Xenopus tropicalis: one gene and its partners. The protein of the gene in region 3 binds, or shares a complex with, the protein of the main gene of each other region. Links are inferred from orthologs where the notes say so. Each region holds a gene or a part of one and is shown on either strand. Other genes may lie near its edges.

What was found.
Region 1: dab2ip (region 3) and dcp1a share a complex: the UniProt entries of both Homo sapiens proteins name them as parts of the cytoplasmic complex. The link is inferred for Xenopus tropicalis from reciprocal best matches to the Homo sapiens genes DAB2IP and DCP1A.
Region 2: dab2ip (region 3) and arhgef6 share a complex: the UniProt entries of both Homo sapiens proteins name them as parts of the cytoplasmic complex. The link is inferred for Xenopus tropicalis from reciprocal best matches to the Homo sapiens genes DAB2IP and ARHGEF6.

What each region holds. Positions count from the first base shown.
Region 1 is NC_030680.2:150,710,944-150,721,699, forward strand, and holds the start of dcp1a (mRNA-decapping enzyme 1A), read left to right. Parts: upstream 1-5,133; 5' UTR 5,134-5,191; coding exon 5,192-5,326; intron 5,327-10,756. UniProt on the Homo sapiens protein: Necessary for the degradation of mRNAs, both in normal mRNA turnover and in nonsense-mediated mRNA decay. Removes the 7-methyl guanine cap structure from mRNA molecules, yielding a 5'-phosphorylated mRNA fragment and 7m-GDP.
Region 2 is NC_030684.2:69,142,267-69,151,874, reverse strand, and holds the end of arhgef6 (rho guanine nucleotide exchange factor 6), read left to right. Parts: intron 1-3,828; coding exon 3,829-3,928; intron 3,929-4,369; coding exon 4,370-4,424; intron 4,425-5,099; coding exon 5,100-5,222; 3' UTR 5,223-5,779; downstream 5,780-9,608. UniProt on the Homo sapiens protein: Acts as a RAC1 guanine nucleotide exchange factor (GEF).
Region 3 is NC_030684.2:9,045,365-9,056,294, forward strand, and holds the start of dab2ip (disabled homolog 2-interacting protein), read left to right. Parts: upstream 1-4,654; 5' UTR 4,655-4,925; coding exon 4,926-5,046; intron 5,047-10,930. UniProt on the Homo sapiens protein: Functions as a scaffold protein implicated in the regulation of a large spectrum of both general and specialized signaling pathways.

The DNA of each region.
Region 1 (10,756 bases), on a different chromosome or scaffold from region 3:
CAGGGGGAGTAAGAGAGTAAAGGAGTAGTACAGGGGGAGTAAGAGAGTAAAGGAGTAGTACAGGGGGAGTAAAAGAGTAAAGGAGTAGTACAGGGGGAGTAAAAGAGTAAAGGAGTAGTACAGGGGGAGTAAGAGAGTAAAGGAGTAGTGCAGGGAGAGTAAGAGAGTAAAGGAGTAGTGCAGGGAGAGTAAGAGAGTAAAGGAGTAGTGCAGGGAGAGTAAGAGAGTAAAGGAGTAGTGCAGGGAGAGTAAGAGAGTAAAGGAGTAGTGCAGGGAGAGTAAGAGAGTAAAGGAGTAGTACAGGGGGAGCAAGAGCATAAAGAATTAGTACAGGGGGAGCAAGAGCGGAAAGAAGTAGTACAGGGGGAGCAAGGGTGTTGAGAAGTAGTACAGGGGGAGCAAGAGAGCAAAGGAGTAGTACAGGGGGAGCAAGAGAGCAAAGGAGTAGTACAGGGGGAGTAAGAGAGCAAAGGAGTAGTACAGGGGGAGTAAGAGTGTAAAGGAGTAGTACAGGGGGTGCAAGAGAGTAAAGGAGTAGTACAGGGGGTGCAAGAGAGCAAAGGAGTAGTACAGGGGGAGTAAGAGAGTAAAGGAGTAGTACAGGGGGTGAAAGAGAGTAAAGGAGTAGTACAGGGGGAGTAAAAGAGTAAAGGAGTAGTACAGGGGGAGTAACAGAGTAAAGGAGTAGTACAGGGGGAGTAAGAGAGTAAAGGAGTAGTACAGGGGGAGTAAGAGAGTAAAGGAGTAGTACAGGGGGAGTAAGAGAGTAAAGGAGTAGTACAGGGGGAGCAAGAGAGTAAAGGAGTAGTACAGGGGGAGTAAGAGAGTAAAGGAGTAGCACACAGCATAAAAATGTAAGTAGTAGAAGAACAGGACAATGTATTACAAATAGTGAGAGGATTTAAGGTACCAATTAGCCACTGGGCTGCAATGACAATGTACCACTGACACGCTCACCCCTTTTCAGAGTATGGAATGATTATCCTCCCTGGCACTGAGAGGGTTAATACAGGCTGTCTGTACTACAAAAACACAAAGAAGAAATATTTGTGGAGTAACCTGAGACGGGGCCTGATGGGTTTGTACTGGATCAGCTTCCAACGGTTCCATTATTCCCACTCACTGGGCTGCCATTGGGCTCCTGTAAGGGCCACTGCCCAAAGAACAATGGGGTAATTCTCTAGGGTGTGGCCCTGCGTGGGCAACATGGGAATACAGACAGGTACTGACACAGTGGGAGAACTAAAGGGGCAGAACAGAGGGGCCGGGGCTGTCAGATGAGACTGCTGCTTTTAAACCTAAAGCTCATGAGGTAAATGAGTTCTGAGTTAATAGGGGTCCAATATACAGTTACACGACTCATACAGGTTCTGGTACCAGTACAACTGCTGGGGCAGGAACCATGCAGGTAATAAAGATGCTCCAGGGGGTGAACAGGGAGTCGCTGGCTTGTAGTATCACCCTCTGCTGGGCTTTTATACTGTGTTTATTTACACCTCATTAACAGAATCACAACACATTCCAACCATATCTCTGCAATCACAGATCCTATCTGATCCCCCCATTGTAAGCAGCAGTCCTGCCCTGCTTTATGGCTGAGATTCTAGCTATCTGTATAACAGAGCATTCTGTCACAGTGGCACAGATCCTATCTGATCCCCCCATTGTAAGCAGCAGTCCTGCCCTGCTTTATGGCTGAGATTCTAGCTATCTGTATAACAGAGCATTCTGTCACAGTGGCACAGATCCTATCTGATCCCCCCATTGTAAGCAGCAGTCCTGCCCTGCTTTATGGCTGAGATTCTAGCTATCTGTATAACAGAGCATTCTGTCACAGTGGCACAGATCCTATCTGATCCCCCCCCCCATTGTAAGCAGCAGTCCTGCCCTGCTTTATGGCTGAGATTCTAGCTATCTGTATAACAGAGCATTCTGTCACAGTGGCACAGATCCTATCTGATCCCCCCATTGTAAGCAGCAGTCCTGCCCTGCTTTATGGCTGAGATTCTAGCTATCTGTATAACAGAGCATTCTGTCACAGTGGCACAGATCCTATCTGATCCCCCCCATTGTAAGCAGCAGTCCTGCCCTGCTTTATGGCTGAGATTCTAGCTATCTGTATAACAGAGCATTCTGTCACAGTGGCACAGATCCTATCTGATCCCCCCCCATTGTAAGCAGCAGTCCTGCCCTGCTTTATGGCTGAGATTCTAGCTATCTGTATAACAGAGCATTCTGTCACAGTGGCACAGATCCTATCTGATCCCCCCATTGTAAGCAGCAGTCCTGCCCTGCTTTATGGCTGAGATTCTAGCTATCTGTATAACAGAGCATTCTGTCACAGTGGCACAGATCCTATCTGATCCCCCCCATTGTAAGCAGCAGTCCTGCCCTGCTTTATGGCTGAGATTCTAGCTATCTGTATAACAGAGCATTCTGTCACAGTGGCACAGATCCTATCTGACCCCCCCCATTGTAAGCAGCAGTCCTGCCCTGCTTTATGGCTGAGATTCTAGCTATCTGTATAACAGAGCATTCTGTCACAGTGGCACAAATCCTATCTGATCCCCTCCAAGCAGCAGTCCTGTTCTGCTTTATGGCTGATTTGAAAAAATGTGGAAATGCACAAAAGAAAAAAAAATAGTAGGATATAAAGGATTATGGGATATAAACAGGACATTATAACGACAACAGAAGACAGCTGAAGCAGTAAAAGCTTTAATGCAGGCAGTTATATACCTGTTTCTCACCCACCCTGATTCTGTTACCCTACATAGGAATAAAGGCAACTTCCTTACCTTAACAGGACAGACGTTGGATCATGGCTCAGACAGACATAGCAACAATGGGGACAGTCATTCTTCCCCAGGCAGACAGACAGTTATCAGCACCCAGGGCAGGGCCAGAGGTAACTCACACTGGTACTCATGGATCTAGGGCATTGAATTACCTGTTTGCACCAGATCACTGTATCTAGGAGCTGCCCAATCAATTATTAATCCTCCCAGCGACATCAGGAGAGCACGGGACCCATTTTCACCTCTTGGGTTTCGGGATTAACGTTCTAAAGGGGGAAGCAAATATCTATGGGCAAATTCTAGCGCACCCTTGGGCAAAGCTTAGCGGAGGGTAAAATAAAGGGGAGCCCTGGCAATCTAGGGGAGTTGGGGAAACTTTTTGCAAGGTAAGCAGAACTTATTGAACCAAAACACTCCTTATGTTTCTGTAAAGCATCATCTGCCGCCTCAGTGTATATCAGCGGGGGTTCAGATACCTGTTATATTTGGTTTGGGGCTGGAATTGACTTGGGAGATGTGACTATATTGCCCTGCGCCTCTGTATGAAACACAAGGGGTAATGAAAATGTTTCCCCAGTTCTAGTGACTGATAACAACTAATCAGCACTTGGCATCAGTAGAGCTGGTGTTTAAAGGAGAAGGAAAGCTAAAACCTCAGTAGCTTCATCAGAAAGGTCTATGTAAATACAGCCATAAGCACTCACAGAAACGCTGCACTGAGTCCTCTATCAAAAGAAACACAGGATTTCTTATCTTCTTCTGCTGCGCTGCAAGTTGGAGTGATATCCCCCCCCCTCCCCCCCAGCAGCCGATCAGCAGAACAATGGGAAGGGAGCAAGATAGCAGCTCCCAGTAGGTATCAGAATAGCACTCAATAGTAAGAAATCCAAGTCCGGCTTGGGACTCCTCCAGTTACATGGGAGTAGGAGAAACAATAGGTTAGCTGAAAGCAGTTCTAATGTGTAGCGCTGGCTGAAAGCTCAGACTCAGGCACACTTTACTGCTGCGCTGCAAGTTGGAGTGATATCCCCCCCCCTCACCCCCAGCAGCCGATCAGCAGAACAATGGGAAGGGAGCAAGATAGCAGCTCCCAGTAGGTATCAGAATAGCACTCAATAGTAAGAAATCCAAGTCCGGCTTGGGACTCCTCCAGTTACATGGGAGTAGGAGAAACAATAGGTTAGCTGAAAGCAGTTCTAATGTGTAGCGCTGGCTGAAAGCTCAGACTCAGGAACACTTTACTGCTGCGCTGCAAGTTGGATTGATATCCCCCCCCCCCCCCTCACCCCCAGCAGCCGATCAGCAGAACAATGGGAAGGGAGCAAGATAGCAGCTCCCAGTAGGTATCAGAATAGCACTCAATAGTAAGAAATCCAAGTCCGGCTTGGGACTCCTCCAGTTACATGGGAGTAGGAGAAACAATAGGTTAGCTGAAAGCAGTTCTAATGTGTAGCGCTGGCTGAAAGCTCAGACTCAGGCACACTTTACTGCTGCGCTGCAAGTTGGAGTGATATCCCCCCCCCCCTCACCCCCAGCAGCCGATCAGCAGAACAATGGGAAGGGAGCAAGATAGCAGCTCCCAGTAGGTATCAGAATAGCACTCAATAGTAAGAAATCCAAGTCCGGCTTGGGACTCCTCCAGTTACATGGGAGTAGGAGAAACAATAGGTTAGCTGAAAGCAGTTCTAATGTGTAGCGCTGGCTGAAAGCTCAGACTCAGGCACACTTTACTGCTGCGCTGCAAGTTGGATTGATATCCCCCCCCCCCTCACCCCCAGCAGCCGATCAGCAGAACAATGGGAAGGGAGCAAGATAGCAGCTCCCAGTAGGTATCAGAATAGCACTCAATAGTAAGAAATCCAAGTCCGGCTTGGGACTCCTCCAGTTACATGGGAGTAGGAGAAACAATAGGTTAGCTGAAAGCAGTTCTAATGTGTAGCGCTGGCTGAAAGCTCAGACTCAGGCACAAGGCACTGAGATGGCGCCTACACACCAATATTACAGCTACAAATACATTTGTTGGTTGAAGAATAAAAGGTTAAATGGCAGAGGGAATTATTTGCTGTGTAACAGGGTCATTTAGAGATAAACAGCCCCATAAACATCATGGCAGGGTCCCTTGACACTAAAGTTATTACTCAACTTTAGACAAGACTCAAAGTTATGTTTCCCCTAGGCTGGTGTACAAGTTATATGTCAACAAAACCCATGGTAAAAATAAAGTTCCCCTAAACCTTCTGTTTCTTGCTCAGACCACATTTCTGGTTGCACCAATAGGGAAGCTCGGAGCGGGCGGAACGTTGCTGGTAGGAACCATTGTGCCGGGGCTGCGGAGCTGGCGGACATTTAAGGTGTGAGCCCCACTCCAGCCCGCTGCTGTTCCGCTAGGAAAGATGGCGGTTCGGGAGAAGGCTGGGCAAGAGATGAGTCTAGCGGCGCTGCGGCAGTCTGACCCCTATATCAGTAACATAGTGGATGTGACCGGGCACGTCGCTCTCTATCGCTTCAGCCCCAAAGCCAATGAGTGGGTGAGTGGCACCGGGCGGGACCATGGGAGCGGGGGGGGGGGGGAAGTGGGGGAAACCAGCTGTGTGAGGGGAGAGTTAGGTTTGGGATGGAAGGGTCTGTTATGGAGGGAGGGGCAAAGTGACGGGGTAGGTGTGTGTGAACTGTAAGTGTAACAAGCTATAGTGTTACACAGTGACAGCTACACATAACTATAAACCCAGTGAGAATGAGGAATGAATGGATATTGGGGAGTTGTATCAGGAGTCAGAACCAGCAGTGCAGGGAAGGGAAAGGGACAGACACAGTGACAGTTACACATAACTATAAACCCAGTGAGAATGAGGGATGAATGGATATTGGGGAGTTGTATCAGGAGTCAGAACCAGCAGTGCAGGGAAGGGAAAGGGACAGACACAGTGACAGTTACACATAACTATAAACCCAGTGAGAATGAGGGATGAATGGGTATTGGGGAGTTGTATCAGGAGTCAGAACCAGCAGTGCAGGGAAGGGAAAGGGACAGACACAGTGACAGTTACACATAACTATAAACCCAGTGAGAATGAGGAATGAATGGATATTGGGGAGTTGTATCAGGAGTCAGAACCAGCAGTGCAGGGAAGGGAAAGGGACAGACACAGTGACAGTTACACATAACTATAAACCCAGTGAGAATGAGGAATGAATGGGTATTGGGGAGTTGTATCAGGAGTCAGAACCAGCAGTGCAGGGAAGGGAAAGGGACAGACACAGTGACAGTTACACATAACTATAAACCCAGTGAGAATGAGGAATGAATGGATGGATATTGGGGAGTTGTATCAGGAGTCAGAACCAGCAGTGCAGAGAAGGGAAAGGGACAGACACAGTGACAGTTACACATAACTATAAACCCAGTGAGAATTAGGAATGAATGGATATTGGGGAGTTGTATCAGGAGTCAGAACCAGCAGTGCAGGGAAGGGAAAGGGACAGACACAGTGACAGTTACACATAACTATAAACCCAGTGAGAATGAGGGATGAATGGATATTGGGGAGTTGTATCAGGAGTCAGAACCAGCAGTGCAGGGAAGGGAAAGGGACAGACACAGTGACAGTTACACATAACTATAAACCCAGTGAGAATGAGGGATGAATGGGTATTGGGGAGTTGTATCAGGAGTCAGAACCAGCAGTGCAGGGAAGGGAAAGGGACAGACACAGTGACAGTTACACATAACTATAAACCCAGTGAGAATGAGGGATGAATGGATATTGGGGAGTTGTATCAGGAGTCAGAACCAGCAGTGCAGGGAAGGGAAAGGGACAGACACAGTGACAGTTACACATAACTATAAACCCAGTGAGAATGAGGAATGAATGGGTATTGGGGAGTTGTATCAGGAGTCAGAACCAGCAGTGCAGGGAAGGGAAAGGGACAGACACAGTGACAGTTACACATAACTATAAACCCAGTGAGAATGAGGAATGAATGGATGGATATTGGGGAGTTGTATCAGGAGTCAGAACCAGCAGTGCAGAGAAGGGAAAGGGACAGACACAGTGACAGTTACACATAACTATAAACCCAGTGAGAATGAGGGATGAATGGATATTGGGGAGTTGTATCAGGAGTCAGAACCAGCAGTGCAGGGAAGGGAAAGGGACAGACACAGTGACAGTTACACATAACTATAAACCCAGTGAGAATGAGGAATGAATGGATATTGGGGAGTTGTATCAGGAGTCAGAACCAGCAGTGCAGGGAAGGGAAAGGGACAGACACAGTGACAGTTACACATAACTATAAACCCAGTGAGAATGAGGGATGAATGGATATTGGGGAGTTGTATCAGGAGTCAGAACCAGCAGTGCAGGGAAGGGAAAGGGACAGACACAGTGACAGTTACACATAACTATAAACCCAGTGAGAATGAGGAATGAATGGATATTGGGGAGTTGTATCAGGAGTCAGAACCAGCAGTGCAGAGAAGGGAAAGGGACAGACACAGTGACAGTTACACATAACTATAAACCCAGTGAGAATGAGGAATGAATGGATATTGGGGAGTTGTATCAGGAGTCAGAACCAGCAGTGCAGGGAAAGGGACAGACACAGTGACAGTTACACATAACTATAAACCCAGTGAGAATGAGGAATGAATGGATATTGGGGAGTTGTATCAGGAGTCAGAACCAGCAGTGCAGGGAAGGGAAAGGGACAGACACAGTGACAGTTACACATAACTATAAACCCAGTGAGAATGAGGGATGAATGGATATTGGGGAGTTGTATCAGGAGTCAGAACCAGCAGTGCAGGGAAGGGAAAGGGACAGACACAGTGACAGTTACACATAACTATAAACCCAGTGAGAATGAGGGATGAATGGGTATTGGGGAGTTGTATCAGGAGTCAGAACCAGCAGTGCAGGGAAGGGAAAGGGACAGACACAGTGACCGTTACACATAACTATAAACCCAGTGAGAATGAGGGATGAATGGATATTGGGGAGTTGTATCAGGAGTCAGAACCAGCAGTGCAGGGAAGGGAAAGGGACAGACACAGTGACAGTTACACATAACTATAAACCCAGTGAGAATGAGGGATGAATGGATATTGGGGAGTTGTATCAGGAGTCAGAACCAGCAGTGCAGGGAAGGGAAAGGGACAGACACAGTGACAGTTACACATAACTATAAACCCAGTGAGAATGAGGGATGAATGGGTATTGGGGAGTTGTATCAGGAGTCAGAACCAGCAGTGCAGGGAAAGGGACAGACACAGTGACAGTTACACATAACTATAAACCCAGTGAGAATGAGGAATGAATGGATATTGGGGAGTTGTATCAGGAGTCAGAACCAGCAGTGCAGAGAAGGGAAAGGGACAGACACAGTGACAGTTACACATAACTATAAACCCAGTGAGAATGAGGAATGAATGGGTATTGGGGAGTTGTATCAGGAGTCAGAACCAGCAGTGCAGGGAAGGGAAAGGGACAGACACAGTGACAGTTACACATAACTATAAACCCAGTGAGAATGAGGGATGAATGGATATTGGGGAGTTGTATCAGGAGTCAGAACCAGCAGTGCAGGGAAGGGAAAGGGACAGACACAGTGACAGTTACACATAACTATAAACCCAGTGAGAATGAGGGATGAATGGATATTGGGGAGTTGTATCAGGAGTCAGAACCAGCAGTGCAGGGAAGGGAAAGGGACAGACACAGTGACAGTTACACATAACTATAAACCCAGTGAGAATGAGGGATGAATGGGTATTGGGGAGTTGTATCAGGAGTCAGAACCAGCAGTGCAGGGAAGGGAAAGGGACAGACACAGTGACAGTTACACATAACTATAAACCCAGTGAGAATGAGGAATGAATGGATATTGGGGAGTTGTATCAGGAGTCAGAACCAGCAGTGCAGGGAAGGGAAAGGGACAGACACAGTGACAGTTACACATAACTATAAACCCAGTGAGAATGAGGAATGAATGGGTATTGGGGAGTTGTATCAGGAGTCAGAACCAGCAGTGCAGGGAAGGGAAAGGGACAGACACAGTGACAGTTACACATAACTATAAACCCAGTGAGAATGAGGAATGAATGGATGGATATTGGGGAGTTGTATCAGGAGTCAGAACCAGCAGTGCAGAGAAGGGAAAGGGACAGACACAGTGACAGTTACACATAACTATAAACCCAGTGAGAATTAGGAATGAATGGATATTGGGGAGTTGTATCAGGAGTCAGAACCAGCAGTGCAGGGAAGGGAAAGGGACAGACACAGTGACAGTTACACATAACTATAAACCCAGTGAGAATGAGGGATGAATGGATATTGGGGAGTTGTATCAGGAGTCAGAACCAGCAGTGCAGGGAAGGGAAAGGGACAGACACAGTGACAGTTACACATAACTATAAACCCAGTGAGAATGAGGGATGAATGGGTATTGGGGAGTTGTATCAGGAGTCAGAACCAGCAGTGCAGGGAAGGGAAAGGGACAGACACAGTGACAGTTACACATAACTATAAACCCAGTGAGAATGAGGGATGAATGGATATTGGGGAGTTGTATCAGGAGTCAGAACCAGCAGTGCAGGGAAGGGAAAGGGACAGACACAGTGACAGTTACACATAACTATAAACCCAGTGAGAATGAGGAATGAATGGGTATTGGGGAGTTGTATCAGGAGTCAGAACCAGCAGTGCAGGGAAGGGAAAGGGACAGACACAGTGACAGTTACACATAACTATAAACCCAGTGAGAATGAGGAATGAATGGATGGATATTGGGGAGTTGTATCAGGAGTCAGAACCAGCAGTGCAGAGAAGGGAAAGGGACAGACACAGTGACAGTTACACATAACTATAAACCCAGTGAGAATGAGGGATGAATGGATATTGGGGAGTTGTATCAGGAGTCAGAACCAGCAGTGCAGGGAAGGGAAAGGGACAGACACAGTGACAGTTACACATAACTATAAACCCAGTGAGAATGAGGAATGAATGGGTATTGGGGAGTTGTATCAGGAGTCAGAACCAGCAGTGCAGGGAAGGGAAAGGGACAGACACAGTGACAGTTACACATAACTATAAACCCAGTGAGAATGAGGAATGAATGGATGGATATTGGGGAGTTGTATCAGGAGTCAGAACCAGCAGTGCAGAGAAGGGAAAGGGACAGACACAGTGACAGTTACACATAACTATAAACCCAGTGAGAATGAGGGATGAATGGATATTGGGGAGTTGTATCAGGAGTCAGAACCAGCAGTGCAGGGAAGGGAAAGGGACAGACACAGTGACAGTTACACATAACTATAAACCCAGTGAGAATGAGGAATGAATGGATATTGGGGAGTTGTATCAGGAGTCAGAACCAGCAGTGCAGGGAAGGGAAAGGGACAGACACAGTGACAGTTACACATAACTATAAACCCAGTGAGAATGAGGGATGAATGGATATTGGGGAGTTGTATCAGGAGTCAGAACCAGCAGTGCAGGGAAGGGAAAGGGACAGACACAGTGACAGTTACACATAACTATAAACCCAGTGAGAATGAGGAATGAATGGATATTGGGGAGTTGTATCAGGAGTCAGAACCAGCAGTGCAGAGAAGGGAAAGGGACAGACACAGTGACAGTTACACATAACTATAAACCCAGTGAGAATGAGGGATGAATGGATATTGGGGAGTTGTATCAGGAGTCAGAACCAGCAGTGCAGGGAAGGGAAAGGGACAGACACAGTGACAGTTACACATAACTATAAACCCAGTGAGAATGAGGAATGAATGGATATTGGGGAGTTGTATCAGGAGTCAGAACCAGCAGTGCAGGGAAAGGGACAGACACAGTGACAGTTACACATAACTATAAACCCAGTGAGAATGAGGAATGAATGGATATTGGGGAGTTGTATCAGGAGTCAGAACCAGCAGTGCAGGGAAGGGAAAG
Region 2 (9,608 bases), about 60 Mb from region 3:
TTGAAATCTTATTTAATTTTGAACTTTCACATGGGGCTAGCCATATTCTTCATTTCCCAGGGTGCCACAGCCATGTGACTTGTGCTTCGATAAACTTTAATCACTCTTTACTGCTGCGGTGCAAGTTGGAGTGATATTACACCCTTCCCTTTCCCTTCCAGCAGCCAATCAGCAGCACAATGGGAATGTAACAAAAAATCAGCTCCCTGACACCAGTATTGCTAAAAGTTGTAAACACTTAATAGTAAAAAGTCCAAGTCCGGCTCATGACTACTTCAATTACGTGGGAGTGGAAGAAACAATAGGTTACCTCATAGCAGTTCTAATGTGTAGCTCTGGCTCCTTCTAAAAGCTCAGACTCAGGCACAATGCACTGAGATGGCTGCCTACACACCAATATTACATCTAAAAAAAAACATTTGTAGAAAAAAATATTAAATGGTAGAGTGAATTATTTGCCATTTAAAGAGTGTAAAAAAAAAAGTACACCATAAAAATCATGTCAGAATCCCTTTAATATTTTTCAAGCATTCCTTAAACTGAACTGATAGAGAAGACATGCATATGTAAAAGGGTTAACTAGGAGAAAGTTTCTTTTGTCTACAAAAGCAAGACAGATTTTAATCTGCTTGTTTGTGTCATACACAGGAAGCAAGAATATCTTTTCATCAGCAGTTTTGGCAACTAGAGGGATGCAGCTTTTTTCTTTTTTTTTTTTTTCTTGTGTAATCACAGCAGTAGTTATAACTTTTATGTGTTCGATATCTCTCACCATTACCTAAAAGAGCTGCAAGATATAAAATTACAGTCCCTTACACCAGCATACTCACACATACAGACAGGGATATTACTGTCTATGTCATACTAAAAAGTTATTTAAGTTCTTTCTTAAACTAAATAGCTAAAAAGGTAAGATTAGATAAGATAATTAGATTACCAGTGCATAAATAATACTCCTGCCAACACAACAGTCCCACCAGTTGGAAGAGAGGGGTTGTGTAATGGTAATCTAATTAGCTACCTCGCAAGGACCAAGTATGGAGTAGTTTCAGTTTCCCTGTTTGCCCTGTTTAGCCCAAGAAATAACAAAACAGTTTTTTGTGATTAAAACAAAAGTCAAAGAGTATGTTTAGCACAAGCCCTATTAATTGCATTCAAGTTGGACAAGCGAGTATAATGTCCCTTTAAAGGACATGTAAAGCCTACATTTGCCTACAATATATATCAGTTGGGCATGTCTCCTCCACCCAAATGGCATCATTTGTACTGCATATATGCCCTCCGCTTGCCAGCACCATCACATTTTCCTAAAGCAAATAGCAGCTTTCACCCGGTGGCCATTTTCCCTCTGATACATAATCAGATAGATTTAAATCTGCAAACATTATACACACACAGACCCTTATTCAGCATACATTTCATCAACAATGCAGGCTCACACAGGCACAACTGTCTCTGATAAAAGTTCTGCTTTGTTTGAGCACTGTAATGGTAAAGCTGAGGTCAGGAGAAAAAAATGGAAGCAGACAGCTAGAGCTGAGTTTCTATGGGAACCAGCAATGCCATCTCTTCACTGGCTGCTAGACTGGAGGGTGTGTGTAGTAATCTGAGCTTAGAACAACTGAGCATGCCCACAAGCCAACAGCCAAAGCAAATTCCTGAGGGAGGGGGCCGAGTGGGTTACAGGAGGAGAAGGAAATCTAAGTGATTAAGGGGATGTTGCAGCCTTACTATTAACCTCTGGACAACCAGTGTGGCAGGTATTGAAAGATTTCAAAGAGGCTGTCCTTTAATGGTCACTAAAGCCTCATCAAATCATAGATTACTTGTTTTATCCAAAAAACTGTTGTGCCACAGCTAACAGCCCTATATACCCCTTGAGCAACTGTTCTCGTTCCTAACCCTATATGTGACTGAAAGGAAAGAATTCTTTTAAATTCTTATTTGTAAAATACAGTTGGCAGTTGTATAAAATAATATTTTATTACAAATGCAGTTATATGTAGAATGGTGTATTGCATACTCTTGATACTTTCAGGAGAATATACAGCTTGGTGCTTTATCAAATCTTGCTAATCATACTTTTTTTGCATACATTAAAGTTTGTCTTTCCTTAATTCAACATGACCCTCTAGCAATACGTATGGCCATATAGCCCTGCATCAATATCTAAATGATATTCACCAATATGCGTTCCACTAACAATATATAGGGTTTCTTTACAAGCACAAACGCAGTGTGCAATTTTGGGTGCAAGTTGCCATGTTTTTTTACGCATGATGCAGCATTTTTTCTCATAGTTTGAGCATAATTGCGGATGTGAGGTGGCACCACCTCATCAAATATGTAATTTGATGTTGTTAAGACGAATTGCTCAAAAAAACGGTGTTGGAATGTCATAATTTCCACCACATGGCATCAAACTTCCATCTTTACCCAATACTTTAGGAGTAAGTGTGTGTGTTGTTAATGCAGGCTGCTGTGGGAGTCCTATACATGTGTTTTAGAGGGCTGTCTTTTCTACATTTCTACAGCATTCGTTTATAGAAATTCACTTTTGCATGACACCGACTTCAGAACCTATGGCATCCACCTTCCACATTATTAGACTAATATATCACTGCATGCATTTTGTGTCTAGTCCTTTGTATTGCCATTAATTATGAATGTCATCTTTGCACTGCATATGGTTATTGTAAGTGAGAGCTGCTAAAATGTACCTCAGAAGAATGACAAATTCTGTTAAAATGATGGAATGCGCAATCTCTTCTGCTCTGTTCTGCTACAAGACCCTTGTTAATTATTTAAATTCAGAGCAGGTTTCTGTAAGGGCATTTTCATGTTGATCTGAATGGATTTCCTATTTCAGGTTCTCTAATTAACACACATAAGGGAGGGGATTGATCAATTTACATTCTCTGGTCCCCCTGTTTCAGTTTAGTATCTATGCATGTAATAGTGCATGTATTTTCAAAAACAGGGGGTTTTCATTATCATATAATTGCCTAGCCATCATACCATGTCAAGTTAAACCCCATATAGTGGTCCTTACTATTTAACTCTGGCTGTATTTTTTTTATAGGCTGGCACCACCCTCAAAGTAGGAAAAGGGCCTCCTGGCCTGGGCATCAGTCACAGGGCTTAGTCATCCCCCACGATTAGCATTTATAGAAGAGATTGCAAAGACAAGTCTCTAATTTACATCTCATTGTCATATGTTGTTTCAGAATGATAAATCTGTCTTTGGTTTCCTTAGTTCAGGTACTCTCAAGTGTATACTGCTGTTTAGCTAGAATGATAACTACACTAAGCCAAATCCTTAGAGCCAAAAAAATTGTATATCTCTTATCCTCGGTACAACTCTCAATTTTTTAATTTCTCCATTTTTGCATATAATTTGTTAGAACCTTTGCATACCATCCATTTTTTCCTTTCTTTCAGCAAATCCCTCCTTAGTCATTCTTAAGACTTTAATGCTGAATTTAGCATGGTTTTCTATGATGGATCTTTACATAGTTTTTTTTAAATGTAACTTATTGATTCTGGAATTATCTGATGTCATATTTCTAAATTATATGATCGGTGACTGTGAGCCACTGTGCCATGCCATGAGGTTGTTTTGTAAACTACTAGGCAACTCAGGGTGCTTTCTTTGAAAGATGCAGTCATGGCAAGGCAAGAGAGGTGACTCATTTACTGCAGGAAACAAGGCAGTGTGGCTTTCCAGTTTTATAAGAATAGGCCAGAATATCTATGCACAGCTCCCAGATACACACTTTATTCCCTCTTATTCAGATAGGAAATGTAAAGCAGTTTGTTTCTCCGCAGGTTCACGCAAAGATTCTGTTGCACAAGTGTTGCTACTTGAGGAAGAAAATCTTATAATTGATGAGCTGAGAACCAATGGGCAAACAGTTTCAGAAGAAAAGTAAGTTGGGCTTAAAAATTATAGTAAGATTCTTACTGCCAGCATGGATTCATTTTTAAGTGCCTCTAAATACCACATCTAAATCTATCAATATCTTCCATGGGCTTATTTTCTCAGCCTTTTGCCTTTGCATTTCAGTGGAACAAACATAAAAATGACTGAGCATTACATAAAGCCTATAAAATAAGGACTGCATGTATTACTGAATAGTCAATAAATAAATATATATGTAAATACATACAGCTAAAAAAAGGAATTTCAGCACAATGTGAAGTTCTTTGTGTTCAGCCATGTGAATGATTATTCTTTTGTTGACTTTCTTAGAGAGGGGATACTAATTTTCAAAGCAAATTGCAGTGTTGAAATACAATAAGGTCGTGCTTGTATTGTGGAAATGCACTATGCTTCTGGTATTAATTATCTATCTACACTTTATTGTAGGAGCCTTGTAGATACAGTTTATGCATTACGAGATGAAGTCATGGAGCTTAAACAGGTGAAAATATGCATTATACCATGTTATTCTTTGGTGGCATTTGCAAATTCTTTTTAAGAGAAAATCCCTATGTATGTAGCATTCATTTTGTTTGTCCCTCAGTGAACCAGAGTAGCATGACATGCTTGCAACCATCCATGTGGAGATTGTGAGCCCAGTTACCCTGCCCTTCCATGATCTCTGCTGTTTATTTTAAGTGGAAGAGGCAGGTCTGGACTGAGATTCAAAATTGGCCCTGGCATAACAAGTACACAGAGGCCAAACAGCCCTCTACCAGCCCAATAAATAATGACCGTCTATGGCATCTTACAGCAGCCCCTCTGTGATTAGCCAGAAGGTACAGATTGCCCGCCTGGGCCTGGGAAGAGGAATTTTAAAATTACACTATACAATAAGCCATAGGAAAGCAGAATTATAAAGCTAATGTATTTGGCACATACTGTCCCCATCCTTATGAAATGGGAGAAAAAAAATAAAGGCGCCATGGGTCTCATGTTGCACTAATATCAGCTTTGTTCTTAATAAATAGGTTATTTCATATAGGGTGATAAATAGTTGCTATATGTACAGAAGTTTCTTTACTCCAGTCTTGCCTGTTTATTGGTTTTTTATTTTTATTGTTTTATTGTCATTTTATTGTTTTAACTAAGAAATTGATGATTTTGTATTCCAAAGGAGAACAAAAGAATGAAACAATGCTTGGATGAAGAGCAGAAGTCAAGGAAGGAACTAGAAAAAATAGTTTGGAAGATACTGAAACAAGCCAATGACTCCACACGGGATGATCCTTCCCATTAGAATTAGCTGTCAGTTTTGGTTTTATATGGACTGCATCCTTAAATTGTACTCATTTGAGGAATGCTTCTGGTCTGTGGGACTCTATGAAAAGTGTGTTAAAGCAGTTTTATTTTCCCTAATAAGAGTTTTACAGACAGATTTGTGTATATACAGAATGCACACCTAGCAACCATGAAACGATCCACCAGTATTAACTGTGTTTAATTACCATTATGAATTCTCAGTGGGGCTCTTTTTGTGTGTGCTACTATTCATTTCTAATTGGCACATCTGTAACATTAGTTAACATAGGTACCCCCTGATAATTCCCAGGTGCAGTAAACCATAGCCACCATTGAGATGTTTGCTTCTTAAACAGTGAATTTAACCAGTAAATGCTGCTTGTTGATTGGTTACTATAGGTGATTCAGTCTGTAGCAATATTCGCACCTTATATTATATAACCCCTAAATATGCAAATACTGACCTGAATAGGGACAAAGCTATACCCCCAGAATGAATACCTAACCATTCATGTAAAGTGACCTATTAAACAATCTTGCCAAACTGGAGTAGGTATATACATCAGTAAATATTGCCCTTTTACATCTCTTACCTTGAGCCACCATTTTGTTATGGGCTAAGTGCTCCCTCAGAGATCACCTGAATGGAAATAATGCAGCTCTATTTATAACAGAAAGAAGTGTGGGAGTAAAAGACCTCTGTGCACTAATTGGCTGATGTAACCTAACATGTATGTGGCTTGTGTGTGCACCAGTGGAAGCGCTTAATTCTTAAAATGGCAATTTTCTATTTAGGATTACCCAATGGCACATACTACTAAAAGTATATTTTTATGAAAATGGTTAATTTAGAAACAGAAACAGAGTTTTACATATGAGCTTGTTTATGCAATATATTTTTATAGAGACCTACACTGTTCAGGGGTATAGATTTTCTCTAATGGGCCTGACTTGTAGTAAGGTTCGGCTGGTCAGTAAGACAAGAGCACTTAGGGGCATTTTCTGCTTTTGTTAGTTAACCGGTTGACAATCACGAGGAAAACACTTGCTTAAAAAAAGAAACACAAATAGTTTTTCTGATTGGCCTGCATTTTCTTTGCTCAAAAGTGAAGGCATTAATTGGCAAAACATACTAGAAACACGGATCAACACATACATCAGCAACATGGAAACATAAGATATTACTTTATGGGAGATATTACTCATGGGCAATAATGTAAGACCAAATAAATTAGCGTGCACTTAAAATTTAAACACAAAGGGTTTTTGGGATAGTTACCACGATAAGTCTGATACAAGCTGGCTCTACAATGTTTAAAGATGCACTGAATACACAGTAAGTAAATGTATATCATTCTGCCATAATTAGGTCTATATATGTGAATGAAGGATTATTGTTCCAAGAGTACTGCTGAGTCTAGTTTGAAACTGTGTTTAATTAGGTACTTTAATTTCCACAATCATCTCAGAGAAATCACTTAAAACTGGAACCTATACTGATCACTTCAATTAGTAGAAAATGCAAAGCTGACTGTGTGTGGCCACCGAACTAGTGAACTGGGTACTACCTCCTGGTGTGCCTGTTTCTTTTAATGGGCAGTTTTTGATCTTCACTGTTTCCTTGGAAAGCTTGCAGTGACTAAGAAATGTGAGAAACATGTTTTGGCGCAGTGTTCTTGCTCCTAATTTAGTATATTAGGTTTAAATCAGTAGAATGTTTTATGGATTGCTGCAGAGGTTTTCAGCAGGCCTTAAAGGAGAAGCGAAGGCATTTTGAAATTTTATTGCCAATAGATTAATCACAATAGTGCAAGCTAGAACGCTATATTTATTCTGTAGAAAACGTTTCCATACCCGAGTAAACAGCCCTAGAATCTCCCTCTGTTTGCTTTAGATAGCAGTTGCCATTTAAGCTTGGTCTCAGTAACTTCCGTGCTGCAGCTCTGGCTTCTGGTAGCTCGGATTACACAGCACAGTTGGGAGGGGGAGAGAGGAGCAAACTGAGCAGACTTATGCCGTGCCCTGAAGGATTTTTCTGAGAGCAGGAAGTCTGACACAGAAGAACATGTATACGCAAAAGATGAAAAGAAATCCTGTGTTTCTTTTGATAGAGGACTCAGAGCAGCTTTTCTGTAAGCGTTTATGGCTTTATTTACTTAGGCCTTTCTGAATACAGCTTTACCTTTCCTTCTCCTTTAATGGAAAGCAAAATAATATATAATTTGCTTTATATAGAGGAGCCACTTTTATAGATGTGTCAGGTTAATAGGGGCTAAAGTTGGTCATACACTCTACAATTATGATCTTTCCCACGACCACTGAGTGTAGGAACGATCATTTGTTTACTCTATTAACGTTAAGAGCTGAATTGGCAAATATACAGGTAAAAGCAAGGTAATGTATTCCCATTATCTGATGATTCAGCATTAACATTACGTTTTTTTGGGCACCTTCAAAAGCACCCAGTCAAAATTTTCAGTCCTGCCCAATCAATGAGGCGACTGATATCGGTCGCCTCGTCTTTCGTGTGATAATGTCAGCGTGGTGTATGGCCACCTTTAAAAGAAAAAATCACTTCAGATAATGCTTTGATTATATACATGGTCTTCCACAAATATCAAATTACAGAGTCTATTCAGAGATACAATAGGCTAAATGGCTTACATTAAAAATGAATTGCATGCAGTGAAATACATGACAAGGTTGGGTAGGACACTGTACAACTAGAACTTTTAAAATGATATTTACAAATGTTATAAAATGTATTTAAACATATTAACTTGAATAGTTGTTGTAGGCCTTTTAAAGGGAACACATTCATATAGGGGTGTCTGATAATAAACACCACTTATAAATAAAGAATAAACTCTGCTTATAGAAAAGAGACTAGAAAATGTGAGTTACAGCATATTAAACCATTTCCTTCTGAATATTTATGAAAGGTGGCTGCATACGCAGAACGTGACTAGAGGTTATTAATTAGTATTGCTGTTCTCTGATAATAAAATAACACATACAAGCAATATTTCCACTCCTGTTTATATGAACAAAGTCAATGTGAGTATACAAAGGAAGGATGGATAAAAATGTAGCTATCTATTTAAAAAAACTAAATAGCAGACAAAATACAGTGTATAGGGTATATTTTTTCTTTTGAATGTGTTTTGATGTACTTGCTCTATAATAATATGGCAGTATTCTGGCTAATGTCTGTAATACTGTGATGCATAACATATTGTCTTGAATACAGCGCCTTTTAATATATATATATCAATATCATAGCTTTATATAAAAATTATAGGGGAGTATGGATCAAAGTGTACAGGACAAATTCATTACATTTTTTATAAGTAAAATTGTCCTTCCGTATACTTTTTAGCTTTATTCAAAAGTCATATTTTATTGCTGGCATATGCTGTTCTGACAAATATCTGCTGGTTGTATAAAAACAAAACCAAATAAATGCTGTAAGCAAGTAATTTAAGAGAAAAAATTATTTTTTCCAGAGAATGCAGCAAGAAATCTCCCTGTTTGATTTTATTCCAGCCACGTTAACACCTTTTGTTATACAAAACTTTGTGAAGCCTCAGGGAGCAGTGCTACTGTATGTAGTATCTCAGACAACTAATGTTTAAAGTTACTTGAACTCATAAAGTACTATTTGTGGAAAATGCCAGGTTAGGCTCAGGCTCTAATCACTGTGGTAATATGTGGTAATAAGCACATTTGATAGTCCGGTCCTGTAAATATGTATTTAACCCCTTATCAAAGAAAAAAAATGAGGTACCACTAGATTTTGTCATGTTTAAAATTTGTTTTCTTCTTTTGTATAACTAATTGATATTTGAGATGCTTTGTAAAGGAATGCAATTCATAAGTAGCTATTTTTTAGCCCCGCCCATAAAATGCTGTCAATTATGAGAATATTGGAGTGTTGCATACAAAACTCTTCATTGCTGATTGGAATGTGTTCTTGTCTGTTGGGCATTCACACATAACCGCAAATCAACCACCAAGTAGTGATAAAAATATGGTGCTGTTGCACTTAAATATACAGAACATATAGCACACATTTGGCTATGCACTTAGGATATATATATATATATATATTTATATATTCTAAAATAGTATTTAAATTCTCAGTTATTTATAGTTTTTCCTGTACAGTTTGTGTTTTTTTATTCATTTAGCCATCAAAGGGTTCTAATTTTGTTTTGGCAAAGTAGATGTTCATGCAAAACTGTAATAGGTAATTGCTTATAATAGGTAATTGCTTATGTCTTTGGATATTGAGAGTCTGGTTTATTAATGTTCAAATTTAAATTTTTCTGCATTTAGAATTTTTTTTAAAAAACGTAAAACTTTGGCATCTGAAAAGCTTGCA
Region 3 (10,930 bases):
TTTAACCCCCTGCAGGGGCCCCTGCCGCATCCCTTTAACCCCCTGCAGGGGCTACATGCCCACAGACCGACAGCCCTGGGGAGCACTGGCAGGGACCATGTCTTGGGCGGTGGGGCCCACCGGGCTTTCCCTGTGTCCCACCGCCGCAGTCCGACCCTGCCAACTGTTTTCGCTGAGTCCCCCCACTGTTGCCCCCCCATTGCTTAGGGCATTCTCCATCATCTTCAAAAAACCCTCTCCCTACTAGAGATCCAGTAAGGCAGATGCAGACTACATTTCCCAGAATCCTCCTTTAGCCAGTAATAAACCCCTGCTGCTCCCCAAGACCCCCCCGTCAGGACACGGGCAGATACCCCCCCCCCCGGCCAATCCTAGATAAAAGCGAGACAGGTGAGGGGCGGCTGATCTGTTTCCCTATTCATGTTTCTCTCATTATGTAATCAGAGAGGAAACTGCCCCCCGGGGGGGTAAGTATTTAATGCACCCAAACTTCTCACTAAGGCGTCTCCTTTCAGCAAATTCTCACGTTACACCCCGCGAGGAACATTAGGCGCACATCACTTGTACCCCGGGGGTCACTCTCCGGCTCCATATTTGGGGGGGGACATGGCTGTTGCCCCGGGGGAGCCGTGTAAGTGCTGCACATAAAAGCTCCGGCTCCGACTTTGGGGTGCAGGGCTCACCGGGGGTTCTCTAAAGCGGGGTCTGCTTCCTCTAGCTATATGTGTGTGTGTGTGTATATATATATATATATATATATATATATATATGTGTGTGTATATATGTATATGTGTGTGTATATATATATATATATATATATATATATATATATTATACATACATACACACATATTTATATAATATAATATACCCACGGTGAGCAGTTGTCGCTTATTTTACTGGGAATGTCACTGCGAATCCCCCATCCCCCTGTGTGCAGCCCCCGGGGACCCTGAGCCTTTTATTGGCTTCTGCAGTATATATAATAAATATATGGCACTTGATCCTGAGCTGGAGCAGCCATGATTCCCGACATGGATCTTAATCCCGTGCTTTATTGCTCTCTGCAGTTTGTAAAGGGCAAGGGAGAGAGCGAAACGCGTGAGGCAGAACAACTGCTTTATGGAGAGGGGGAAGGAAATTAATTAGCCCCCCCCGCGGATTTACCTATTGACTAGGCGGGGTCTGTAACCGGGGCAGAGAATGGGGGAGAGCGGGTATAGGGAGGCAAGATGGGGTCAGGTGATGGTGGTTGCCAAGGGCTGTCAGGGGTTGCTGGGAGTTGAAGCTGGGTGGGGTTACAAGTAACTGGGCCCCTCAGCACTTAGTCGGGGGTTTTGGTTCCTCACCAAAATATTTTTAGTGCTCCCCCAGGGTCAGACTGGGAGAAAACCCCATGGGCCCCGCTGACCCAGACCCGATCCTTGTCGGCGCTCCCTTAACTGACCTCCCACCCCCAATTGCACCTAGGTAAGTATCCGATATGAATGCCCAGGAAGGGGTCGGACCCTGGGCTCCTCTAACATACAGTTGGAGGTAACCAACACCCAGGGTCAGACTAGGGGGTGCATGGCTGCCCCAGGGGCCCCCGCTACATGCCCACAGACCAGCCGCCCGGGGTAGGACCAGCAGGGATCGTGCCCCACGGTTGCTCCCCCATATTGATAATATAGGTAATATAAGATATATGGATAAGACCTCCAACCTGCATCTATACCCGCATCCAAAAATCCTACCCATAGCCCCAGTGTATCTGCTTTTTTTGAGGGAAACCTGTGGGGTACCCAACCTGCTGCCCCAGGGGTCCCCGCATCCACCAAGGTGCCCCTGCTACATCCCCCTAACCCCCCAAGGTGCCCCTGCCACATCCCCCTAACCCCCCAAGGTGCCCCTGCCACATCCCCCTAGCCCCCCACAGGGGCCCCTGCTACATCCCCCTAACCCCCCACAGGGGCCCCTGCTACATCCCCCTAACCCCCCACAGGGGCCCCTGCTACATCCCCCTAGCCCCCCACAGGGGCCCCTGCTACACCCCCCTAGCACCCCACAGGGGCCCCTGCTACACCCCCCTAGCACCCCACAGGGGCCCCTGCTACATCCCCCTAGCCCCCCACAGGGGCCCCTGCTACATCCCCCTAACCCCCCACAGGGGCCCCTGCTACACCCCCCTAGCCCCCCACAGGGGCCCCTGCTACATCCCCCTAGCCCCCCACAGGGGCCCCTGCTACATCCCCCTAACCCCCCAAGGTGCCCCTGCCACATCCCCCTAGCCCCCCACAGGGGCCCCTGCTACATCCCCCTAACCCCCAAGGTGCCCCTGCCACATCCCCCTAGCCCCCCACAGGGGCCCCTGCTACATCCCCTAACCCCCACAGGGGCCCCTGCTACACCCCCCTAACCCCCCGCAGGTGCCCCTGCTACATCCCCTAACCCCCCACAGGGGCCCCTGCTACATCTCCTTAACCCCCCACAGGGGGCCCCTGCTACACCCCCTAACCCCCCACAGGGGCCCCTGCTACATCCCCTAACCCCCCACAGGGGCCCCTGCTACATCCCCTTAACCCCCCACAGGGGCCCCTGCTACATCCCCTTAACCCCCACAGGGGCCCCTGCTACATCCCCTTAACCCCCCACAGGGGCCCCTGCTACATCCCCCTAACCCCCACAGGGGCCCCTGCTACATCCCCTTAACCCCCCACAGGGGCCCCTGCTACATCCCCTAACCCCCCACAGGGGCCCCTGCTACATCCCTTAACCCCCCACAGGGCCCCTGCTACATCCCCTAACCCCCACAGGGGCCCCTGCTACATCCCCTTAACCCCCCACAGGGGCCCCTGCTACATCCCCTTAACCCCCCACAGGGGCCCCTGCTACATCCCCTTAACCCCCCACAGGGGCCCCTGCTACATCCCCTTAACCCCCCACAGGGGCCCCTGCCACATCCCCCTAACCCCCCGCAGGGGCTCCTGCCGCATCCCCCTAACCCCCCGCAGGGGCCCCTGCCACATCCCCCTAACCCCCCACAGGGGCCCCTGCCACATCCCCCTAACCCCCCACAGGGGCCCCTGCCACATCCCCTTAACCCCCCACAGGGGCCCCTGCTACATCCCCCTAACCCCCCACAGGGGCCCCTGCTACATCCCCCTAACCCCCCGCAGGGGCCCCTGCCACATCCCCCTAACTCCCCAAGGTGCCCCTGCTACATCCCCCTAACCCCCCAAGGTGCCCCTGCTACACCCCCCTAACCCCCCAAGGTGCCCCTGCTACATCCCCTTAACCCCCCACAGGGGCCCCTGCTACATCCCTTAACCCCCCACAGGGGCCCCTGCTACATCCCCTTAACCCCCCACAGGGGCCCCTGCTACATCCCCTTAACCCCCCACAGGGGCCCCTGCTACATCCCCTAACCCCCCACAGGGGCCCCTGCTACATCCCCTAACCCCCCACAGGGGCCCCTGCCACATCCCCCTAACCCCCCACAGGGGCCCCTGCTACACCCCCCTAACCCCCCACAGGGGCCCCTGCCACATCCCCCTAACCCCCCACAGGGGCCCCTGCTACATCCCCTAACCCCCCACAGGGGCCCCTGCCACATCCCCTTAACCCCCCACAGGGGCCCCTGCTACACCCCCCTAACCCCCCACAGGGGCCCCTGCCACATCCCCCTAACCCCCCAAGGTGCCCCTGCCACATCCCCCTAACCCCCCACAGGGGCCCCTGCTACATCCCCCCTAACCCCCCACAGGGGCCCCTGCTACACCCCCCTAACCCCCCACAGGGGCCCCTGCCACATCCCCCTAACCCCCCGCAGGGGCTCCTGCTGCATCCCCCTAACCCCCCAAGGTGCCCCTGCTACATCCCCCCTAACCCCCCACAGGGGCCCCTGCCGCATCCCCCCTAACCCCCCACAAGGGCCCCTGCCGCATCCCTTTAACCCCCTGCAGGGGCCCCTGCCGCATCCCTTTAACCCCCTGCAGGGGCCCCTGCCGCATCCCTTTAACCCCCTGCAGGGGCTACATGCCCACAGACCGACAGCCCTGGGGAGCACTGGCAGGGACCATGTCTTGGGCGGTGGGGCCCACCGGGCTTTCCCTGTGTCCCACCGCCGCAGTCCGACCCTGCCAACTGTTTTCGCTGAGTCCCCCCACTGTTGCCCCCCATTGCTTAGGGCATTCTCCATCATCTTCAAAAAACCCTCTCCCTACTAGAGATCCAGTAAGGCAGATGCAGACTACATTTCCCAGAATCCTCCTTTAGCCAGTAATAAACCCCTGCTGCTCCCCAAGACCCCCCCGTCAGGACACGGGCAGATACCCCCCCCCCCGGCCAATCCTAGATAAAAGCGAGACAGGTGAGGGGCGGCTGATCTGTTTCCCTATTCATGTTTCTCTCATTATGTAATCAGAGAGGAAACTGCCCCCCGGGGGGGTAAGTATTTAATGCACCCAAACTTCTCACTAAGGCGTCTCCTTTCAGCAAATTCTCACGTTACACCCCGCGAGGAACATTAGGCGCACATCACTTGTACCCCGGGGGTCACTCTCCGGCTCCATATTTGGGGGGGGACATGGCTGTTGCCCCGGGGGAGCCGTGTAAGTGCTGCACATAAAAGCTCCGGCTCACAGCTCTCTCATTGTGTGAAAGTCTCACCAGGCTGCGGATGTGTGTTTGTTTTTCTCCAACCCTGACAGATTTCCCAATTCACTCCATTCCAGCCCTGGACTCTTTCCAAGCCCTTATCTCCGGGAAACCCTCTGCCCGGTAACGGAGCTATGCCTGCCAGGAGCTGCAAACTTTTTCCCTCTTCTGTGAGGTTTATTTCCCCTTGAAACCGCTTCAACTGGATAAAAGTTTTGGGGGGGGGGGGGTGCGACGGAGCTTGCAAGTCCCCTTGTCCTGGAGAAAGTGGTGCCAAAGAAGCTGAAATGTCTCTGAACGGCCGGAGGGGTTCTGGCCGGCCCGGCTATTACTACAGGTTAATCGGTCGATCCCAACTGCAGAGGCAGCGCAGCCGCTCCAGGAGTCGGAACAGACCGGCGAGACGGGGTAATTAACCTTTCCTGTGGTTCCTTGTGATAGTAAAGGCAAAGTATTCCCCTAACCACCCTGATTGTTAGGAATCCTTACTGTAAAGGTCCCCATACACGGGCCGATTGTAGCTGCTGATATTGGTCATTTGGCAGCTTATTGCCCCGTGTAGGGGCAGGAACGAGGGGCCTGCCCGCCGATATCTGGCCTGAGATTGGCCAGATATCGATTGGCCAGATATCGATTGGCCAGATATCGATTGGCCAGGTTAGAAAATTCAGTCGGATCGGGGACCACATTGGCTCGTTGATGCGGTCCCCAAACCGACTGCCCCATTGCCGCCAATATAATTCGATTGTTTGGCCCCAGAGCCAAACGATCGAATTGGCCTACACGCTCCCTGATACCGCCCACCCGTAAGTGGGGATATCGGGTGAAGATCCGCTCGCTTGGCGATCTCGCCAAGTGAGTGAATCTTAACGTGTGTGGGGACCTTAAGTGACCTATCAGAACTGTACCCCCTGCTGGCAGTGTGCAGACTTCTATCTGTCACCCAAACAACCCCCCCACCTGTACATTCTCCACTCTTTTGTGCTGGTCGGAGCTTGATTCCTATAACCCGGTACAGAAATTCCTACAAATGGGAACAGGCTCGTACTAAATTCTATATCTATTCTGTATCCTTGTTCTATATCTCCGGCACCTAGGCCTGTGTATGCACAATGTTTCCCAGTCTAGATTGGGGCCGACCGTGTATCTGTTGAATGCTGGGGGGTGCAATTATAAAAGTCACACAGACACTGCGTCATTGACTTCTGTGCTTCTGTTTACTGGCCGTCGTACCTTCTCCCTGGTGCCGGGGGCACTGCACATGCTCAGTAAGTAAGTCTCAAATATGAAGGCAGCATAAAGAGCAGACCACAATGCAGTGTATTGCCCAGAATTCCAGTGTAATTGTGGATGCATACAGGGTCCCAGTGGACCCTGGCCCTAGTGGAACTGCAAGCAGTGTCGGACTGGCCCACCAGGATACCAGGAAAACTCCCGGTGGGCCCTCCTGCTCCTGACCATTTGGCCTGTTTCATGCTCATTCCCTATTTCTGAATGGGAACAAAGAGTAGAAATAGATGGAGGAATAGATGCTAGCATGTAAAGTAAAGAGATTAGGAGAATAAAGAGGTTGGGTGAGGAAAGGAGGAAAAATAGTTTGGAAAGAGGGCCTGGGGTCTAAGGTTTTCTGGTGGGCCCCTGGGTTCCCAGTCCGACACTGACTGCAAGGAGAAGTCCAGTACACACTGGGGTGGAGGGGGTTGACTTTGAGTGTAGCAGCTTCCAGCTGTGGCCCCTAGATGGCAGACCTGGTGGGCCCTGGACACCCCAATCCAAAACTGGATGCAAATTAAGTTCCGTTCACCTCAACTTGCGTTCCTGATGTTCCTATGTTAGCAGGGTTCCCCAACCAGTGGCTCTCAAATATTTTGCCTACCGACCCCTTGCATGTTGCTCCCAGTGGCCTCAGAGCAGGTTTGGAGGCATAAAAAACAGTTGTACTGCCAAACAGAGCCTCCAATAGGCTGCCAGCCCACATAGGGCCTACCAAATAACCAATCACAGCCCTTATTATGTACCCCCCATGTGTTGAACCCCAACTCTTTTTGCATTTGTTTCTTTTTCTTTAATTGCTGTTAACCAAACTTTCCCACTGAAGGTATAGTTAGTGCTTCTAAAAAAACATATTTGCTACACTGTCCCTTTAAATATTTTCCAACCAGTAATTGGTTGGGAAAGAATGTCTGTTGTAAAGGGTTAACCCCCTTGGGATCCGCCGTCTTCCAAATGTGGCAAAACTGCCCTAAAAAGCTAATGAATATAATAATGGTCTCTAAAATTAACTTAAGTGGGCTCGAGAGGGAAGAAGCGACTTATGTTTTTCAGTTCTAGAGGTTCCGGAGTATTGTGTGAGCTTTGTAGCAATAGGAGCCACTGTGGGTTGCATTTGGGCCAGGATAAATATTCTGTCCAGCCAGAAGGAAAATCTATTTTTGGGCTGCCCTCCCTTAAGTGCACCCATGGGACTTTCACATGTTTTCCCTGTAATCCCATTGGATATCAGCAGAAGAACTATAGCAGCAGGGAATGGAGACGTTGGCATCTCAAGGGTAGATGTGTCAAGGTTCATGCAGGGCCACAGCTAGAGAGGAGGGCAACACAAGAAGACTAGGAGCCCATATTGGGTCCATCGAGTCCAACTGTTCAGCTGGCAGGGGAACTCGTCCAAGAGTTGCCGGGGTTCTAGAGCATATTGGTGGGTTTGTCTAGGTATCACTCTGACAGTTATACACGGGAGGGGTGGGTTAGGTTTTCATGCTTGTTGGAAACAGGTAGGGTTGAACTTCTAGAAAGTGGACAATATTGAGAGTTGCGTCAGCCTAGAACCCTACTATTTGCCTTAGGCACCATTGTGGACAATGCTAAAAACCAGCTGGTGGCATCTAACATAGGTTTCTGATGACACCCCATAGATGTATAAACATGGCTATGCCAGTTACACAGTCCCCAGGCCGGCCAGTTCACTAGCCCATGATGCCGCTCAGCTTGCCCGTGCCGTATATGTACTTCTCCATCATCCTACTCCTACTTCTCCGACATCCTACTCCGGGAGATTATAGAGTGCTCCTCCACCTCACCTAATCCTCCACGCTTCAAATATTAATGAGCCTCGGAGGAGACGGCTCTGCAATGGGGGGAACAATAGGATGAAGACTTTAGAGACAGATGAAATGAAACGGAGCGTTGTTGCTGGAAGTGACTGCCAACGAGAGACTTAAGCTCTCCAGGAGAAGTGGTTATCGCTCTGTGTCTCAGGAGCTTCACTTACAAATGTCATTTCCACGCGTTTTACAGCTGCCTGGGAACTGGCACGATTAGCTGGGCGCAATAATGGGATTTGCATCCTCTCCTGTCAGCTCTCGGGGCTGCGTTGCTTTCATGGGCGTTGGGGGAAAGTCTGATGGGACCATCCCTGGTTGGTGGCTACACCTGGTCATGGTCGTTCGGCCATATATGAAGGGATGTAGCCACATATTAATGCCCATATATTTCCCATTGCTATTAAGCAGGGGCAACCAAAAGAAACAGAGTGACTAGTTTGATTGGGAGCTCAGAAATACAGAGGGCTCGGTGAGAGTCCAGGCTAAAGTCGTAGATGGACCAGTATCTTCTTCTTCTAGTTATGCCCTGTAACGTTATGCTCACCATGTTGCTCGTTATCTTATTAAACAATTAGCTTGTACCAGTTGGGAGTAGGTTGAGCCTTCCATTGACTCTACCCAAGCAGTGTCGGACTGGGGGGCTCGGGTAGGTGGTTTTTAACCAGCCAGCACCAGTATTACACATTGCCCCCTTTCCTAACCTTCTACTTCCTAACCCCACCCACAAAACAATGTCACGGCCCTCCCCCAACCCAAAGGCTGGTATTATAGGTGGCAACCCTATGCCAGGGGTCCACCAGAAAACCTTTGACCACAGGCCGAATTTTTCTGTCCCTTTTCAATCACTTTCTTTATTCTCTTCATCACTTCTTCCATATAGTCATCTATCCTCCCCTACATTTCTTCATCTAGAAATGATGAATGCCCATGATTTTAACATATAAGACAAATGGTTGGTTGAAAAGGAATAGCCAATGAAACCATGGCCCGCCATGAGTTCTTCTTGTGAACTGGTAGGCCAGGCCTACACTCAACCCAACATTTAGCCAATGAAACCATGGCCCACCATGAGTTCTTCTTGTGAACTGGTTTGCCAGGCCTACACTGAACCCAACACCTAGCCAATGAAACCATGGCCCACCACGAGTTCTTCTTGTGTACCTGTGGGCCAGGCCTACACTGAACCCAACATTTAGCCAATGAAACCATGGCCCGCCATGATTTCTTCTTGAGAACTGGTAGGCCAGGCCTACATTTCTTCTTGTTTTCATATATGAATGGTGAATGCCCATGATTTTAACATACAAGACAAATGGTTGGTTGAAAAGGAATAGCCAATGAAACCATGGCCCACCACGAGTTCTTCTTGTCTACTTGTGGGCCAGGCCTACACTGAACCCAACATTTAGCCAATGAAACCATGGCCGCCATGATTTCTTCTTGAGAACCGGTAGGCCAGGCCTACATTTCTTCTTGTTTTCATATATGGATGATGAATGCCCATGATTTCAACATACAAGACAAATGGTTGGTTGAAAAGGAATAGCCAATGAAACCATGGCCCACCACGAGTTCTTCTTGTGTACTTGTGGGCCAGGCCTACACTGAACCCAACATTTATAATATTACCTAATCACCTTGAATTGCCTGAGCCCATTGACCCAAACCTGGCCCAGTACTGCAAGTGATGTCACAGTCAGCTGGGTGGGAGGAGGAGCATAAAGACCAAGGCCAAGTTGGACAAGCTCCCTAGAAATGAAAGCTACTCAGTGTTGGCCGTAGTAAGGGAGATAATTAGATTCTCAGCGCAGAAATAATCTCCCTGTATAATGAACTCCTGCTAACAAACAGTCGCAACAAAGAGTGAAGGGAATAGATGACTACAGAAAATGTATCTACCTTGCAAGGACCAAACATGGAGGAGCTTCAGTTTCCCTTTTTGGCTTATTAAATAACAAAAACAATGGGGTAGGCGATATCGGATTGATCCGATCCTCGGCCAAACTAGGGTTGCCACCTTTACCCGCTGCTAACACTGGGCAGGGGGAAGGTGGTGGCATTACAGAGGGTGGGACAATGACATAATGAAGGTGGGGCATCAACATCATGGGGTGGGGTTATGACATGACCAATGCTGATCCCCATATCAATCTTGGAGAGTCCTGCCTGGTTTTCCTAATGTCCAGGCAGTTTTGACCTGGACAGCCAGTGGAACCCTAAGCCAACTTTGATAGGATGCAGGCCACCAGGGCTAGGACCACATCAACCCACCGATGCACCCCTTGCCCCGACGGAATTTGTCAACCTGCCTGATTGAAATCTGGGGGGTATCGGTGGGGCAGGACTTCCTTCTCCATCCACAGCTCCAAGAACCAGTGGAACCAATACAGATATGGGATGGATATAATATCAGTTTAGCAGCGAATGACTTGTTCTTCTACTTCTTCTCCTCGATGGAAGGTAAAGGGTAAACGTTCTGGGCCGTACTATTAGTCGGATAGTGACAAGGAGTAATTAGTACGGCTGCAAACATGGAGCTGCCGTTATTTTATGATTAATTAGGAAAGAATGGCTGTTCTTTTATGATTGTTTCTGTTCATTGTTGTGTTCCGGCAGGCTTGCTGGGCACTGGCGCGTGGAATTTTACTGCTGCTAAATCTGCTTGGCTCAGCAAGTCACGCCGTATATTATCCTCTCCTTTTCATGTCATTACAAATGCCATTTGTCTCTCCTAAAATCGACTGAATTCCTCTCTCCAGTAGCTCTCCAGTTTCTACTTAGGTGCTAAGTGCTCTATTCAATACACAATGTTGGACTGGGGTGTCTGGGGCCCACCGGGGCTGCAACCTGGGGCCCACCGGGGCTGCAACATGGTTCCCCCCACCGCCTATCACACTTCCTCCTTGCTGCCATGATTGGAGGAGGGAGTGTCCATAGTTACACTCCCCAGGGGCCAGCGGCCAACCAGGCCTTTTTCCAAGTGCCCCACCAGTCGCAACACCAGCCTCCCCTTCTTGGCAAAATGGTTTAGGGAGCTGCTTTCTTGGGACCCCAGGATTGACAGGCCCTGGGCATTTGAACTTTTAACAGCATCTAAAGGCCAGAAACTTGGGCTACCAGTTACAGAGTAAAGCTGGCCATACATATACCGATTTTCCTTTACTTACCAACCAATTTTAATGCAAGGTAAG